Drosophila melanogaster: one gene and its partners. Changing the gene in region 3 together with the main gene of any one other region gives a genetic interaction. Each region holds a gene or a part of one and is shown on either strand. Other genes may lie near its edges.

Evidence for each region.
Region 1: of dally (region 3) and stet, changing one suppresses a phenotype caused by changing the other (phenotypic suppression), as found in Drosophila melanogaster (one study listed by BioGRID).
Region 2: of dally (region 3) and sll, changing one enhances a phenotype caused by changing the other (phenotypic enhancement), as found in Drosophila melanogaster (one study listed by BioGRID).

What each region holds. Positions count from the first base shown.
Region 1 is NT_037436.4:1,486,040-1,492,043, reverse strand, and holds the start of stet (stem cell tumor), read left to right. Parts: upstream 1-2,496; 5' UTR 2,497-2,592; intron 2,593-2,998; exon of another isoform or gene 2,999-3,138; intron 3,139-3,212; exon of another isoform or gene 3,213-3,305; intron 3,306-3,536; 5' UTR 3,537-3,627; coding exon 3,628-3,798; intron 3,799-3,853; coding exon 3,854-3,946; intron 3,947-4,014; coding exon 4,015-4,038; intron 4,039-4,108; coding exon 4,109-4,285; intron 4,286-6,004. Other genes in the region: CG12084 (uncharacterized protein), read left to right, coding at 1-60, 126-290.
Region 2 is NT_033777.3:17,603,639-17,609,636, forward strand, and holds sll (slalom), read left to right. Parts: upstream 1-2,467; 5' UTR 2,468-2,691; intron 2,692-2,739; exon of another isoform or gene 2,740-2,746; 5' UTR 2,747-2,880; coding exon 2,881-2,927; intron 2,928-2,988; coding exon 2,989-4,042; intron 4,043-4,294; coding exon 4,295-4,420; intron 4,421-4,501; coding exon 4,502-4,672; 3' UTR 4,673-4,903; downstream 4,904-5,998. Other genes in the region: CG14329 (uncharacterized protein), read left to right, coding at 5,785-5,998. UniProt on the Drosophila melanogaster protein: Mediates the transport of adenosine 3'-phospho 5'-phosphosulfate (PAPS), from cytosol into Golgi. PAPS is a universal sulfuryl donor for sulfation events that take place in the Golgi.
Region 3 is NT_037436.4:8,824,658-8,830,909, reverse strand, and holds the start of dally (division abnormally delayed), read right to left. Parts: upstream 3,406-6,252; 5' UTR 2,678-3,405; coding exon 2,407-2,677; intron 1-2,406. UniProt on the Drosophila melanogaster protein: Cell surface proteoglycan that bears heparan sulfate. Functions as a coreceptor for growth factors and morphogens, such as the products of dpp, to regulate signaling and distribution of these ligands.

The DNA of each region.
Region 1 (6,004 bases), 7.3 Mb from region 3:
TGCTACGAGACGCCCCAGTGCCAACATTGGGCTGTTTGGGCCCTGGCCAATCTGACACAGGTGGGGGAGCAATTCCTTTTCCCATTGTTGGTGCATTGTGTACTAACTTCTGCATTCCGTCACAGGTTTATCCCGAAAAATATTGCAAGCTGGTGGAGCAGGAGAACGGCATCCAGATCCTCAACGAGCTAATCGAGCACGAGAGTCCCTACTGCGAGATCAAGCGCATCGCTCGCCTGGTCATAGAGCAGTGCGACTCCGGATCGGAACGCATGGTCGTCGACGGCTAAGCGGATATTTAGGATAACACGTAGCTTTAGGAGTCGAGTTTGTTGTAATGTTTTTTTTCTGCTTCCTCTGTTTCCCGTTTTAAAGCAAGTGCATGTGTTATGTGGTTCAAGAGATTCTTCCTTGACTTTTATGTTTACAGCGAGAGCAGCAGATACATAGATGCAAGTTTAAACTATGCGAGAGTTAAGCAACTAAATCTAATGATGCAGAAATATTCGATAATTACATAATTACTAGATTATATATGTATATGATGTATCACATGTTGTAAGCCAGCGATCTTTTTAGGCCTTCAGAAGTGTAAATATTGTTAAAACCGGAAAGAGGAAGACATTGGAGTAGCAAGCAAGGCTGCTGGAGATTAAATAAATCCTTAAGAATTGAATTCCCCGTGGATCGATAGTTCTTTCTCTAGCCACATAGACGAGTGTATGGAATCTGTTCTTTGAATTGTGGTCATCATACGATGCTCACTTAACCCCCCCACATTTGCTGTGCTTTCGCATCACGAACCCAAGTAGCTGCAAGTTCAGGATCGGATCGTTCAAAATAATCTAGCTATATAATCTAGACCACTAGGCTAGGCTTAAGCAACTGTAAATATATTGCAAGTAACAGTTTTGAAAGTTCTGCGCTTGGCATTAATATTTATAACAGTGTACGTTACCATTAGTTACCTTACATTACGTATATACATATATATAATTTGATTCGTAAGCGACATCACGCCTGTGTCTTACCAAAGACCCTAGAATAACAAGATGCGTAACGGCCATACATTGGTTTGGCACTATGCAGCCACTTTTTTGGTGACGGCCAAAATTACTCTCTTTCCGCTCACTCCCGCTGAGAGCGTAAGAAATCTAAAAATATAATTTGCTTGCTTGTGTGAGTAAAAACAAGAGACGAGAACGCGTATAAGTGTGCGTGTTGTGCTAGAAGACGATTTTCGGGCCAAAATCAATTCTGATCGAAGAAACGAATTTACATGGTACATATTAGGGTAGTTTTTGCCAATTTCCTAGCAATATGATAAAATAAAAAAATTTTTAAAAATTCGCGCCCTGACTATTATAATTTTAAAGCTTTTTTAAATTTGTTTGTTAAAATCGCCGCTTGAATTAGCTACCGTTTACACATTTATATTTATGTTTAATTCTAATTTGTCTCTCATCTGACAATTTTTTAAAAGCGAAATATTTTTTTGAAACACTTTTAATGTTAATGTTACATCATATTAAGTCAAATGATTTAATAAATATACTAAATAATTAAATATGCAATTAAATTAAATTGCAAAAGTAATATCAAAGACAATAGAATTATTCTAGTGTCTTTGCTTTGTTCCACGGCCAAAAAATCGTGTGCCAAAAAATCGTATGGCGTTACGCATCTTGTTATTCTAGGGTCTTTGGTCTTACACTTTCCTTACCATCCAAAATCACACGATTCTTACAGTGGAACTTTTCTTAAGTTTATTATTTCTGCTTTTGATCGATTAAAGTAATTTTTAAAAATATTTTGGTACAGCTCTTACTCAAATAAAGCTCAGGAACTTCCATTTAACTTATCTATTTGAAATCATTATTTTTTTTTAGACATCATTAAAGAATGAATGCATCACACATTTAAGAAATCTGTTTTTATCATATTTAAAACGGATTTTTTGAGTTTAGGGCTAGAAAGTTTTCCAAATTAAAAGTTTGCTCTACAAAATACATTCATTAATTCGACTTCATTCATAAAACATCATTTCACAATCGCAACTTTGTAGCACAGTGTGGAGTGGAGTGTGCCAACCAGAGCTTTGTCTTCATCATATGTATGTGATATGAGTAAGTTTCAATAAAGCTGCATCTCCCGTGCAGTTTCATTCATCAAGTTTTCAGCAGTGAATCACTAACTAGTATGAAAACTAGTGATGATTTTAACATTGGCATTCCACGGTGCAAGTCGCGGGGTGTGGGGTGCGTAGCCGCTGTTATTATCGAAGTGCAGGGTATGTAAACATTAGGGGGTGTGAGTGGCCAGCTCTGGAATTGCGTCATGCGCCCCCTCGCAGAGCGGGTGGGTGGGCGCAGGGGAGGAAGGAAATGCCAACGGGTTGGAAATGCTTTCCAAGCTGAGCGCATGTGCCGTGGGAATCCGAATCCCCTGCATCCCCCAGAGAGACACTCTCTCTTCTCAATTTTGGCAGCTCTCCTTGGTCAGTTGTCATTTTGCCGGCGGAAAGTTCGCGTGTTTGTTTTTGCCTGGATGTAAATGTGCAATAGTTTTGCGTTCGCGGGTGCAAGCAAAACGGTAAATAAAAGTGAAATAAATGAAATAAAGAAAGCCAAAGGCCAAGCAGAGAAGCGCAAGCAAGAAAGTCCTGTGAACCAAATAGAAAGCAAAACACACGGGGGGTAGCAATCAAGCCAATTCTCCTTCAATGGAAGGAGAAGAATGCGCATTCCATTCATTCGCTAACAAAACCATTCAATCAATGCCAATTGCCTAGTTTAATTCAACAAAATGAAAACAAAATTGTTCCGGCAATTGACGAGGCGTAAACAAAATGCAAAACAATTGTTTGCCAGCCGGATTCTGCGCAGTGTGCCTTATATTTCCAGCAGGATCAATAACCTTCTTATCAGCGGAAAATAAGGGAAAACGACAACAAACCGTTGACTTGGCAATCAAAACAAAGGGCAAAAGCAAAAAGGAAATTTGTTTGCCGGCCATGAAATAGACTATGGTATTGAAAACCAGCAGCCTATGATTATCCGGAAGTATCTCTCTGGGCCCGCGGAAAGTGCAACAATTCTAGTAACGTCAAATTGCAACAAACTGATTTCACAGGCCCCCCCAACCCCAACAAACAGAAAATCTTAATTTCTTTTCTTAAGAAAACGAAATGAATGAATTATTTTTTTTATTCATCTCGACACAACCTCGGCGGCACTCGAACCGCCACTCGAAAAACGTGAGCACGCGTGAATCGACATCTCAGCGCACTCGACCAAATCGGTGGTGGAATTTATGTCGTTCAAACTGAACTGCCTCCAAAAGAGCTTTTGAGTTAAAGAGATTGAAAAGCTCTGCACAGTGGATCCACTTGGCGAATTTCGAAAACAAACATTTTAAAAATATATAACAGCTATTTACTTTTTTTGTTTCAAATTATTATTTAAATTTCTACAATATTGGGGAATAAAAGGACAGACAAGTTCGGAGCATAATACTTGATAATTACTTTTCCGCAGCTGAACTCTAATCGCTACAAACACTGCCAAACCACAACACAACGATCCGCCCTGATCCCAAAACCAAATCTGGATAGCCAGGAACAGCAGGATGTGGCCCGGCTCCGAGCGAGGAAGCTCGCGGGCCCTGGAAATCCCAACCAGCCAGCAAAATGCCGGCGGTAGTAGTCAGCAGGAGACTCTGGCCGACATCGAGCACATATCCACCATTGCCGGCTCCCTTGCCTCCATTGGATCCCTCTCGCACACCCAAATGCGCTATGTAAGGAGCCGGAGTTGCTTGTAAAGATCGTATCTCTAACTCTAATTACCCGCAGCAATGCACCAATGATGCCGGCTATGATACGGAACACACGTCCCTGAACTCGGACTTCGATGAGGCCGAGCTGCGACGGGAGCTACTAAGAGATGTGAGTTCCAATACGAAAATCCTGAACATTACTTATTATAATTCCTTCTTTCTTCACTTTACTTACAGAAATGGAAACTGCTCTTTGACATGGTGAGTAAGCCAACCCAAAAAGGAATACTTATAATTATACTTATTTATAATTACTTTTCACGCTTTGCAGTTCGATCCCGAGGGTTTTGGCGAAATATCAGTCGAGGAATTCCTGGAGGCCCTCAAGTCGCCGGAGTTCCTGTCCCAAGTGCCTATGAACAAGCGGGAGCTGCTGCTGGAGCGGGCAAAGAAGGCGAAGCTGCCCACAGGACCCGGCTACGTGACGTTCCAGGACTTTGTGAATGTGGTGAGTGTGCCGTGTGCCGCAATTACAATCGCCGGTGGTCACTGGCCAAGTAACCAAAGTAACCAAAGTACCCAAAGCACCCATGCCATGCGTATATTTGTCCCGGGCTGCTCATCAACGGCAAACTCGATTTAAGTGCAAACACAGGTGCAAAGTACTCACCCAGGACGAGGTCCAAAGTGTAGGCTCGTGTTCAAACAGACGGAGGACAAGGCCTCGTCCTGGCAGGAGCCGCACTCTTGTTTGGCAAATGCAAAAAGTGCGCTTGGCAAATAAATGCGCCGCTTACGCTTACACTGCGAATAAAAGGGGGTTACTTACTTTTATGCTAGTACCTATGGACACCTTGTTCCGGAAGCAGCAATGTATTTGAATGAAATACACTGCGCATTAAGTTATTTGAAGGATATACCAAGGACATCGATTGTAGAAAAAGTTAGACCATAGTTTTTCTGTATGTAAGCCCACGTCTCGTTTGCTTCCTTCGCCACGCTTGGCCAGGCATTTGAGTGTTTGTCCTGGTTACCTGGGCACTGGCTATTTGTCCTGATGTGGTCCGAAAATACTACCTTGGACTTGAGCTGTGCAACTGGAGGGGAGTGGGCGGCAGAGGTGACTTCTGCGAGCGAATGAAGCGCTTTTCTCGGCTTTTCCTTTGATTGGCAGGGCAATCCTATTGCATTTTGATTGATTCTACCCAGTTGATTGGCACGCACACAAACCGCACACGACAAAACACTCATGCATAATCAATTGCACAGTGAATATTCCTTCGCCTTGGCCGTTCGATTGTTTGCCAAAGTGTCCTTAAAGTCATGAATTAGCCAGGCCGACGTGTCCTCATTTGCCCCTGTGTGTGTGTGTGTAAGTGTGTGAGTGAGTTTGGGCAAAGACACTAGAATAACAAGATGCGTAACGGCCATACATTGGTTTGGCACTATGCAGCCACTTTTTTGGTGACGGCCAAAATTGCTCTCTTTCCGCTCGCTCACGCTGAGAACATAAGAAATCTAAAAATAGAATTTGCTTGCTTGTGTGAGTTAAAAACAAGAGACGAGAACGCGTATATGTGTGCGTGTTGTGCTAGAAGACGATTTTCGGGCCGAAATCAATTCTGATCAAAGAAATGAATTTACATTGTACATATTAGGGTAGTTTTTTGCCAATTTCGTAGCAATATGATGAAATAAAATAATTTTTAAAAATTCGCGCTCTTCTTATTATAATTTTAAAGCTGTTTAAATTTGTTTGTTAAAATCGCCGCTCGAATTATCTACCGTTTACACATTTATATTTATGTTTAATTCTAATTTGTCTCTCATCTGACAATTTTTTAAAAGCGAAATAATTTTTTTGAAACACTTTTAATGTTAATGTTACATCATATTAGGTCAAATGATTTAATAAATATACTAAATAATTAAATATGATAACTGTTTATTGCAAAAGTAATATCAAAGACACTAGAATTATTCTAGTGTCTTTGCTTTGTTCATATCTTGAGGCACGAAATGCGGACACAAGCACTCAACAATCATTGCCTTATTAATTTTTCACACGCCGCAAGATGAATACTCTAATGACAAATATTCTTATATAAAGTCATGTTTGAAATTGATTTTTGTGATAATATGTACATAGATTTGGCTTTTTCTAATCTATTTTCAAATAATAATAACGTTAAGGCAATGCAAAACAAGAATTTTTCGCATGGTGCCA
Region 2 (5,998 bases), on a different chromosome or scaffold from region 3:
GCATGAATTTCAATATTTTCAATATGTTTTATTTATTTTCTTTATTTAATTTAATTTAAATTTATTTTCCTTTCGGACTTCTCTGGTGTTCAATATCCTCTTCCAGAACCCGGTTGTAGACTTCGGTGAGCTTTTCGTGCTTTTCCTTCCACTGCGTATACGCGATGAGGGCTGAAGGGTAGCAGCTACCAACACCACCCCTTACATACAAGCATGTTTACGCTCATGTGTGTGCGTTCGGCTCACGCACACTGATTCCATTAGACGCACACATGGGCAGCTGTGCGTGGAACATTCCAAATTATGCTGACATGCTGATGCGGTAGCACAGGATTATGCTCCCCTGGTACGAAATCTACCACGAAAGAATGTGTACGAGTATGTGACGGACGTATACACGTGTCGCCTGAGTACACACACTGAAATCTGTCGAGTGTGCGAGATGCTGCCACTCTCACAAGGGCGAAATCAAAGACACAGGACCGCGATTTCGTGTGTGTGTACGTGTGTGCGTGTGTGTGTGGGACGCGACCTTGAGCAGAAGTAGCGCACTTAATGCAGCCGCAAGAGCAACCCCTAAATTGCCAGCAGCCGCAAACAGTGGTGTTCACGATAATAAAATCACAGCAACGAACTACATATACTTATTAATGTAATAATAATTATTTTCTTTAAAAATAATACGAATCTCAAACTTAACTAATAAGAATTCACTGAAAGAAGCCAAAAAATATGCTATGATGTCCTATGCTTCCTAAATATATTCCCGAAAGGGTAGAAATCTATAATTTGAAATGCGCTGTCCCCCCAAATTTTAAACCTGATACCTTTTCAACATCAGGATTCGTATTTAAATATGAAAATTAATAACTTGTGCTACATTTCTAGCCGCAACTGTGAGTTAAACCCACCGGGGTGGGTGCATCAATGTAAAGACGTAGTAATGCCGCTCCCGCTGGCCGTTCTGTTCGCCTGGTGCACTAAGGTTGCTCCTAGTTACGACGTAACTGTTAACCGGTTTGGCCCGTCGGCAGCGCTGCTCCTGCATGTTACCGTTATGTAATGGCCTCGACAATGGTAACGTGAAAGAACCCATCCCACTCGGTGGGTGGGCCAGCGGGGCAGGCCGTACGCTTTACTCCGCCCCGTAGATCACGCCCTAGTGGGGTGACATGCGCAATGGCATCGAGTGGCGTTGGGTTGCCCACTGCGATTCCTGGTCGCCTGGTAATCCTTGGGCGTTACCTTAAGAAGGGTTAAACCGCTGATGGACACGTGTCTGTCGAGTTGAATGTGCTGCCGCTGCTGCTGCTGCTGAGGTTCTTGGCCGCGTTCTTGGCAAAAATCACAAAGAGCCAGTCCGGCGGTGCCGTACTCGTTTTGGGCGCCACCCAGTGCCCGTACTCGCTAATTGAAACGCTCCGCGGGACTCGGAGGTTGCCGGTGCCTGTGACCCACCCACTTGGGCGGGCAGAATCGCGACCTGCCATCCACAGGGGCGTAGTCCGTGCCATCGTGTTCCTGTGCCAGTGGTTGTCAGTGCTGCATAAGTTCTGGCTGGAAAGTAGACAGATGAAGTAAATTTGATTACTTTTTAATATAGTGGTATGTACATTTTATAAACAGATAATTTTAAATTCCACAAGTTTTGTATTAAGATTTCTCAAAATAATTATTCATGTAAAATTGATTTGATTTTAAATAAACCTTCTCATTATTTGTTTTATTAGGTTTTTAAATAGCCAAATCATCAGCACTAGGGGTTGCACAGCCATCGAAACCCACCCCTAAAGCAAGGAATGGCAATGTCAAGCGACACACCCCTCGCGCACGCACAGACACACGCACACATGGACAGGCAACGAGTCCTTTCGATTTCATTACGTTCATTATGTGAGGGGTGTCCTCTGAATCACACATTCCACACTCCTCCTGAAATTGATGTGCGCCTGGTATTAGACCTCAAGCGGAATTTCCTTTCGTTTGATTGTAAGTTGTGGGAACGTGCAACAGCATGTGTGATGAAATTCAATTATTAAAATATTACTATCTTACCATCTATTATTACCATCTTATTATTGAATACAATAACTAAATATTTTTGTATAAGTTAAGTAACTTTTTACTTTTGTTAATTACCAGTTTTATTATTATTATTTATAACTAGATACAAAGAAAACAGCGATAATTAAGCTTATCTCGATAGTTATTACCAGCGATTACAAATTTTCCAATTGGTTTTAACAAACAGTCCATCCCTCTTATAATCTATTTTAACGATTTAAGGCATGTTTCAAGGCTTTTAATATGCAAAAATGCACAAAAACAACAAATAAAATTACTAATCCGTTTCATACAAAGAACAGCTGACAAAAAAAAACGACCGAAACCTAACGGTAAATAATTCAAAAGATTAGGGAATACCCCAAATGGTATTTACTTTTAGACCGTGTGGTATTTTCTATCGTTATCGGCGCGGTCATACTGGTAACGTATTGGTTACTATTATAAAATATTTGGCAATCTCGTTCTACTCGCTGGCGGCCAAATAGCTGCAGAATGTTTGAGCAGCTGGCCTGAGAGCTAGTGCCGGCTGCCCGAGCCTAGTACCCCGGACGTCCAGAACATCTTGAAGCTCCAAACGCACCGCACGCACATCTGGCAGCCGATTGTAAACAAACTCGGGATATGGTAATTAGATGATGCCGATTTGGAGTGTGCGAATCATGCAAAAACTAGTTTTCAGAGCCGCGCCGGTTGTTGAACTCTTGACACTTGACTGGTAATAGATTATCGCCCGCGGGTTCAATAGGAATCGGAGAATCGGTCGAGTCAGCAGCACCGGGCATTCAAACCGAGAGAGCCAACGAAACGCGCCACATGTACGCCTATAATAAGATGGGTCGGGTTCCAGAGCTTGTTATATGGTGAGAACCCAACGAAGTTGAAAATCAAATTAAACTAATCCCGCCCTTAAAATCTGAACAGCTCCTTCATAGTGGTCACCCTGCTTGTCATACACTTCTTCTCGGATCTGCTGAGAGCCTCCCTAGGCGGCTACTACAACCAGGATGTTACACTTTCCCAGCTGGTTGAGTCGCAGAACTCGGACTACGCATGGTTCCTTAAGCTGCTGGTCAATTGCTTTGGTTATAGCTGCGTCTTTGTGCCGGGCTTCTTGATCTACAAATATGTCGGCAGGATTAACTACCTGGAAAGAGGCAACAAGACATTCCTGCACAAGGCTATCAATATGTGTATCACGGGTAACTCTGGATACGATCAGTTGGATGCAGGGACCAGCACCGCGGATAAGGATCGTCCGGCAGCCTCTACGGCACCAAAGCGAACGAGTTCCCAGGAGGCCGTGCAACTATTATGGTGCTTTGGCGGCCTGATGATCTCCTATCTTACCTGGGGTGTACTGCAGGAGAAGATAATGACTCAAAACTATCTGAACTTCACTGGAGAAAGTGCCAAGTTTAAGGACTCTCAGTTCCTGGTGTTTTCCAATCGTCTGCTGGCCTTTCTCGTGGCGCTGGCCTATCTACAATGGCAGCCCTCACCTGTGCGACACCGTGCACCTCTGTACAAATACTCCTATGCCTCCTTCTCGAATATAATGAGCGCATGGTTCCAGTACGAGGCCCTGAAGTTTGTCAACTTTCCCACCCAGGTGCTGGCCAAATCGTGTAAGATTATACCCGTTATGCTGATGGGCAAAATCATGTCTAAGGCAAAGTACGAGAGTTACGAGTATGTGACGGCCCTGCTCATATCGCTGGGCATGATCTTCTTCATGAGCGGCTCCTCGGACAGCAGCAAGGCCAGCGGAGTGACCACGCTCACGGGCATTTTCCTGCTCTCCATGTACATGGTCTTCGACAGCTTCACTGCCAATTGGCAGGGATCGCTCTTCAAGAGCTACGGCATGACTCCGTTGCAGATGATGTGCGGCGTCAACCTGTTTTCCTCCATTTTCACTGGAGCCTCGCTGTCCATGCAGGGAGGATTCATGGACTCCTTGGCATTTGCTACAGAGGTAAATATATATAAAGATATCAAGCTCTCAATTTATGATGATATCCATTTTAATCAAAATAACGTAGCATGTTCTGAAATTGAAAGAATATTTGATTTGTTTGTGTTTTGTGGTTTGTGATTTGCATAACCCAAATTGCAAAATTATAACAAAATAACAATAGATTTTAAAAATTTAACGTTTTTTCAAGTAGCTGATATATGTAAGACACCAGATGGTACTTTCTCACTGTTTTTTTGTATTTTTCTCCAGCATCCTAAGTTTGTGTTTGATATGGTTGTGCTTTCCGTTTGTTCAGCGGTCGGACAATTGTTTATCTATCATACAATTGATGTCTTCGGCCCAGTTGTGTTTACGATAATAATGACACTGCGTCAGGTGAGTTGTTTTGAGAGTGTGGAATGGGGGTTTGTTTAATCAACTGCCTGCTTACGAGAAATTTCATTCTGCTTCCCACAGGCGGTGGCCATTATGCTCTCCTGCTTCATCTACCAGCACAGCATATCGCTGTTGGGCATCTTCGGTGTTCTGATCGTTTTCGTTGCCATCTTCCTGAGGGTCTACTGCACCCAGCGGTTGAGGGCCATTCGGAAGCGGGCCGAGGCCAACAAACCGAAAATGGCTGTCTAACTAGGGACGTAGACTCCCTTCGAATACAACGCACAGACTTCCTAGCTCAGCCTTTTATTGTGCTCATAGTAACCCATGGCAGATGCCACTTCCAAAGCCCAAACAGAAGCTGCTCGGACTCTCCAAAAATTGTACAGTTTTGTTTTCATAGTTCTAAGTTGAATGTATACTTATATCCTAATCATAAGCGTAGACGACTAGTGAATGTGCTTAAATAAACATTTTATATGTATACGGCAATGATAACAGTTTTCAAAGGAAATTAGATATTTGCTTTTTTTTTTGTTTAACATTTAGGTTTCACTGTATTGAGAGAAATCTATAGCTATAAGGTATCTTTTTCTGAGAATTCAGTTTATATTTTTCTATGTTAAATTGATTATCCAAAAACAACTTTACTAAACGGGCTACAATTTGTAAAAAGATTTCAAATCTTTGAAGATAGATGAGATGATTCATATTATAATTATTATAATAATTATACCACTTTAATAAGGCTTATTTTGGCAGCATTTTTTATCAGATATTAATAGTAGTGCAGAGCGTCATAAATTGGGTTGCCGTTGGCGAAAAAAATTGATTAATGTGAGAAGCATCCGTGCATCCCCCCAAACCTAATTAGCTTAGCTCCCATATTAGCGATACTTGGTGCAGTCGGTAAACTCGACATTGACCCACTTTCGGGTTACATTTTTGGCAGAAACGTGGTTTTGGCCAAAACAGCGTTGGGTGAGAGCTTCCATCGCTTGGTTCAGGTCAATGCACATGAGTCGCCGAGTGTAACATGTTTTTACTTGGCTATTGTTGTGCCATGTGGGCGATTATACTGATGATGATGAGGTTGATGATGCCGGTGGCTCGGGTGGGCGGCCTGAATTACCATATCAAAACAATGCCCTGGAAAAATTGAGCCAATAAAAAAGGGCATTATGCAATATCGCCGGTGTCTGGCTGCCTTCTAAGGGAATAGCAGCCAATTTGCCAAATTCGAGTTGGTTTTTTTGCGCACGGGCAAGGTGATAAGTTGGGGCGTACTCCGCATTAGAGGAATAGTTTGTGCTCATCCCGCCGAGCGTGCAGAAGTCTTTCAGCAATAGAATCGCGTTTTCAATATGAAACTGTTTCTTCTACTCCTTCTGGGAGCCTTGGGCTATTCGTTGGCCTATCCGCGCACCTATAGTTACGAGTATCCCCGCCGAAGGGCCTACTCCACATCGTATTCCGGGAATTCGTATAGCTCTTTGGCCGGTCGGAAGGCTAGGGAAGAAAGTACCACCAGCAAATCGGACAAGGAGAATGCCAAGTTTGCTGGTGCTTCCAATCAGG
Region 3 (6,252 bases):
ACCACTAATGATTTGGGTATGGGATTGGGGCATATGCGCAGTTCTCTAGTTAATTAAAATTTTTACTCGAGGATGAGCTCCTTTGATGGCAAAAGCATAAGCGTAGGCCCACGCACCCAAACTGCAGGTATGCATACCTACGTACATGTCAGGGAAATGGAATCCGTTTGAAAAGTTGTCTGCTAAGCAGTTTTCCCCGCTCCAAACGAGTCACGTTTGCCTTTGCCTTCTCTATTTGCACTTTTCACTTATCTAGCCAGGCGGCACACAAACACTTGCCGGCGGAGGAGATACGCGGATACATGGGCTCATATCTCATGGCTTGCTCTAATTTCTGTTGCGAGTTGCTTAAATATTTAGTAACACGGTCGGGGGCATTGGAACTGCTATGCCTTAAGCATAGATACAGATACTACAGATACTTGCAGGTAAACAGATACAGATACTGTGCGATACGATTAGATACTGCAGCTACGACTTCCTGTGCGTCTTTGTAACGCGCCAATGTTAATGTTCATTTTAATAGGCACGGAGTAATACTGTTTTTTTTTTTTGGCCCAAAAGCAAAGCCAACTCAATTAGCAGTCGAGTGGTGTGCGCAATTAAATTAAAATTTAGTTTTATGCCGAGCGCCTCTACCGGGAACTGCACGGCAAAAGCAAATCGGGAGAAACATATCGTATGCATGGCACCGACGAGAGATTAGCATCACAAACAGCACATAAACGTAAAAGTAACACACTCCAGAGCAAACAGAAAGAGATATAGATGGAGATACGGATACGTACTGTACGGATACAGATACATTAACAGATATACATAGATACATTGGCGGGGCATAAATTCTACGGAGGCGGAGGCAGGCGCAAGTGGAACTATGTAAACAGTAAATAAATGTCGAAAACAAGGTTCGGCATACTTAAGCAGGAGCAACGACCAGAGATACAGAGATACATACATAGGTGCTGATCGGAGATACGCCGCCTGGCATTAGCCAAATTGAAATTCCTCAAAGCCAGCGCTAATAACTTCCAGCTACCAGTTCAATTGGGCATTCTGGCATTCAGGTGGATAAGTCTCTGGGACACACAAACATGCACTTGTAACGCCAACTCTCGGTTGGCTATTCGGTTCTTCACACTTTGATGCCATGGCAATGCGGTCTGCTCAGCAATGTATCTCATAGATAGTTCTTCTTGGCGTTAACTACCTGCGTGTGGGAACGACTGAACAGAATGAGCAAAGAGAACCGAGAACCTCTGCAGACAGGTAAGCATTGGAGGGAAAAGTTGCAACATCATCGCCAGATACATTTGTATTCCAGTCGAGTTTGCGGCTGTGTATCATGTAATTGTGCGTAAACGCGTAAATACCAAGTCAAGGTCGGCTAATCAATAATAATTATTTTTCACTCAATTACACGAAACAGATATATATTGGGTACATTCGCTCGTTTTCGACTGATATTATCGGATTGTATTGCATTATTTGGTTATTCGGTCTTATTTTTGACTTCGGGTATGAAATATGCATAAACAAAAATATGTCGAGTATCTTGTGGATATCGGCTGTGGTAAATATAAATATACCTTCCATAGCCTTCACACAGTTTGGCCTCAGATGCGTGCCACTTGATATGGCAGTGTCGAGAAATCAGAATAACAAATGATGCCGCCGCCTGTGTATCTATGTATCTCTGCATCTGCGAGGTGCCAGATCCGATATGTAATGAACCTGGCGCGGCCAAAAACTTTATCCACGGCACGTCGAAAACTTTTCCGAGGCGTTGCTCAATGCGCAATCTTCTAATTGCAAACGGCGCCCGGCTGTTCGAGTGGTCATAGTTCGCCTCGAGTGGCTGCCCGCTCGAGGGTTTCACTCAGTTCAATGAATTTGCATATGCTTCTAGTTTCTGGCGGGGATTGAGAAGCGGATGGGGTCTAGAACGGACTAGAAATAAGAGAAACTGCAGCTGCGGGATGGCAAAAACTTTGGCTGACGCGCGATTTACTTGGTTGAAGTATGGAAGACTGATGGCGAGGCGAGGGTTAAGACAAACTCTGAAATCAAGGCAATGAATTTCCCGCAAAAGAAATGTTTTTAAACGGAGAGGATGCAAAAGTAATTAAATTGAAAAACCATTATCAATAATCCCAATTTATGTACCTCTTTCTTATTTAATGGAGTAGATAACTTAGACTTTAAGTATTCGAACCACTCTAGTGACCTGGGGAAATAACATACGTTTTCCTCTGCATAGTTTAAAGTTAGTACGTTTGCTCCTAAGGGGCCTTAACCATATTGGTAGCTTTAACTTCCTCCATCGTTCCCCGCTTCTTCCCCAGCCCGCATGTCCAAGTGCATACTCGATATTATAACTCTACGGATGGATGGCGTGAACTTTACCTTTTTCGCTGTAAGTCCCACTCGACTTGATGTCGATCGATTCGAAGTAGCTCTTGACGGCATCACACTGGTGGGTCGATCCCCCAACGGCGTCCTTCGCCCGCGAGTCCCGCTGTAGGCGACGTCTGTGGTGCGTGGTGGCGCTGTGCAGGTGGTGCTGGTGGTGGTGGATACCATCCAGGTCCAGGTGCTTGGCGGCTGACAGGCCGACGAAGCCGCAGAGCAGGGTAAATAGCAAAAGCTGCGCTAGCCGCACGCTCCTGGCCGCCATTTTTGATGGGTGATTTCTGTGTGCAGACACAGTGGATGATGGGGCTAAATTTGATTTGCCTTTGAATGCTTCTCTTATTTTTATTTTAGCCGGTTATTTTATTTACTCTATTTTGCAGCACTTCTTCGTATTTACTTCTGCATGCTGTCTGGGTGAACAGCTGTTCGCGGCAACAAACACACACACTCACACAAATGCACTTGCCGGCTAACACGCACACACACACACTGGCACACACGGCCACAAACACGAGCGCACAAAACAAAAGGCCCCAAAAACACGCGTGAGCAATAAACGTGGTAGTAAACGTGGGATGGCGATAGTGGGTGGTGGTGGGTGGTGGTCGAAGAGAGAGCGCGTGTCTAGCACTTTTTGCTTTTCTACTTTCTAGTTTTGAAAGGTCGCTAAATTTCTCACAAGTATTTTCTTAACTTATTCAGAGACTTTCCATGACATAACAACGAATAGTACTCAATTCCTTAGCAATTGATTTGCCAGCGATTAGATTTGTTTTTTTTTTCTTCTTTTTAATTTTCTCCTACGTTTTGTGTACTTAGGTCGGCGAAAATAGATTTAATTGCAAAGCTCCTTGGCCACCGGCGTTCTCAGGTCGAGGAAATGCACTCGCCTTCTTTTCTAGCGTTTTTCCGCTCGAATTTCGCACCGATATTTTCAGTTTTTCCGCGCGCGCAACGAACCTTCCACGACGAGAAACCCGAACAGATTGACTTTGCCATCGAAATCAAACATCCGCCCTGAGTGCTACAACTTTAACGATGCGAACACGAACCACACTCGGCACTCGACAATCGGCGCTAAGAGAACCATCCGAACGCTCTCTTTCGAACAAAAGAGAACGGCGAGCACAGATGTTGGCACAGTGGTGCAATGAATAGAGGTGTTTATGCGAACTCAATTTAATTCACAGGTTAACGCCGAGAATACATGAGTAATACAAGGGCGCAATCTGAAATGAATTAATTAATTTGAGTCTTTAGAGTTTTGGAAAACGAGCTTCGAACTAAACCACAAACTTTGTAATGCTTATTAGATATTATAAAGTATTTTAATTAAGGAATGCCCAACCACAATTTATAAGATGTTGTATTTATTAACAGCATGTAGTATGAGTAAAAGGGGAAATTAAAGTTAGTAACGCAAGCTTAGCTTTCGTAAGATATCTATTCTCTTCGATGATTGCCAAACGATTTCGACAGCCAATGAATCTACGTAGTTCCATAAAATTTGATATGACACATATCCTGTTTTCGTTTTATATATTTCAATAGTGATTCGCATTTATTTATGGGTTCCGGCATTCTTCAGGACCAACTTCGAGTTTTCCCTGGCCGTGTCATCTGCCACAGGAGCTGGCTTGATTCTGATTATTTTTCTCTGTGTCCGATGGGCCTAAATATTTATTCAAATTCTCGAAATGCTCTTCTAAAAGCTTTCAACGTTGGCTCGCTGCAATTTGCATATTCAACGTAAATCAATCCATCTCACAGTGGTCTTCTCGGGTGCTCCGGTGGCTTTTAATCCGGGCTTTTATCGATGCCGCTGGTTGAAATTTGCATGCTCGGTTCTAATTGATGTCTGAATGAGTTCTAATTTTATTTCATAGGCTATGTTTTACGATCGGCTTGATGAACCCGTGGAGCAGGCTCAGATTTCACGCCTTTGAAGAGTCTCAGATGCTTGGCAGCTATTTCCCTAGGGCTAAATGTTTCTGTTCAAATTGATAGCCGTGTCATGACCTCGCACAGCACGTGTGGTGGTATCGTTTGTTTTTTTTTCTTCATTTCTTTTCTTTTGTTAATTTTTTCCCTTTGCAATTTGCGAAAACGAAGCGATTGTCTTGAGGCTGCAGCGGTGTGGCAGACAATGCACGACCCGAACACACCAGCCTCTTCTCCCCGGACTTTCACTCGTCACCCCGCGGGCACCGACCTCGATCTTAAATACCTAGGCGTCTCGGGGCGTCTGTGTATCTATTTCTTCATTAACAAGATACTATATAGCCAGGGCAGCGGGAACTTCATGGTGGTCAGTTGCGGGCGTCCAGCTGGGCGCAAACGCCCTCCCACCCCCCATGGATGTTTTCCGTTCCCGGTGATATGTTCATCACGAAATGGAATCCTATTCAAATTAGTGTGCGATAAAGAAAGACCTCCCAAAAAATAAGAAAAAAAAAAGGAGAAGACTCAAGACCCCGGGGCAAACAGCGAAAAGTGAGTCATGCGAAGCGGAAACAGTTCTCCAATGAAACGAATCCACATCAGAAACAACCGTGATGATGATGATGATGATGATGGTGATGGGATGGCGAAACGGCAACAAAAAACAAAAACGAGCTGGAAAAGGTGAGGTCGAAAATTAAACACCACCACATCGTTTAGATAAAGTTATAAATTATAATGTACACTACGGAACGATCGATGAGAGCGAAGGTCCCAAAGAAACCGAAACCGAAACCAAAACCAAAACCCTTTTACTTCTCGCTCTCTCGCCTTATTTTCCGTTTTTTTTTCCTCCTTATTTTTGTATCGCACAGGTAAACCGTAGGCATATATATTATATAGGTGTGTGGGTAAAGGTAGGACTGGAATTAAACGAATTTAGTCAAACGGCATCTATAAATTATGGTGCTTCTTTTTGGCGATCGGGAAAATATGAACGCTTTTAGCTCGGCTCGTTGGCTTGTTGGCCCAACTCGAATTTCGTTTAAACGCTTGATTTAGTGCAGCAAAATATGGCCAAATGTTGGGCTATCTATGCAGTTGTATCCGCTTGTGTTTGTGTGTGTGCGCGCATTCCACAAGCGACAGCGTTTTACACTTGAAATCCTCCGGAGCGGGTCGAAAAGAGATGGATATATATACCCATGGAGCGACCCGGCTTGCCTTTTATCCTGGCACAAACACGTTGGTGGCATTCGGTTGTTGGTGTGCCTGCCTGTGTGTGTGACTGGTCCAACAGGTTCCACGGAGATTCTTCTCCAGTACCGCTCCCTCATGCCCGAAGACTGGCATGCAGCATTTCTCGTTCTCGGTCTCGTTTTGCACATTTTTGAATTTTATTTTAATTTCTTTTTATTATATTTTAGCTGCCAGGCTGCCCCTTTTCAGTGGGGGCCCCCCTTTTCTGGTACTTCGCTTCGGGTTTCTTCTGCTTTGAGTTTGGAGTTTGTGTGCAACTTTGGGCTTGCTGGCTTTTCATTCACCAAAAACTGGTTCGACGTTTAAGTTCTTCACTTGGCTTAGACGGGGGTTTTCAAGGAAGTTCTTCGATCCCACACCCCTCTCGTTCGCTGTGGAATGTGTGAAGTCATCGAGCTGGGGGCAGAGATTTGAATGCCAGCCTCGTCTTCTTATATTTTAAAAGACCTGGGCGGCACTTGCAGTAACAGGGTCTTGAAAATTCCATGCCCCCGCACACAGTCGCACATGCTACGCGCACAGATACTCTCACTTACACAGATACTCACGCACACACACACCTGCCGCCCCTCGAGGGCTGCTCGTTTTTCCATCGAATCTGAGAATCAGTCAAACGAAACAGACATCGATAGCACT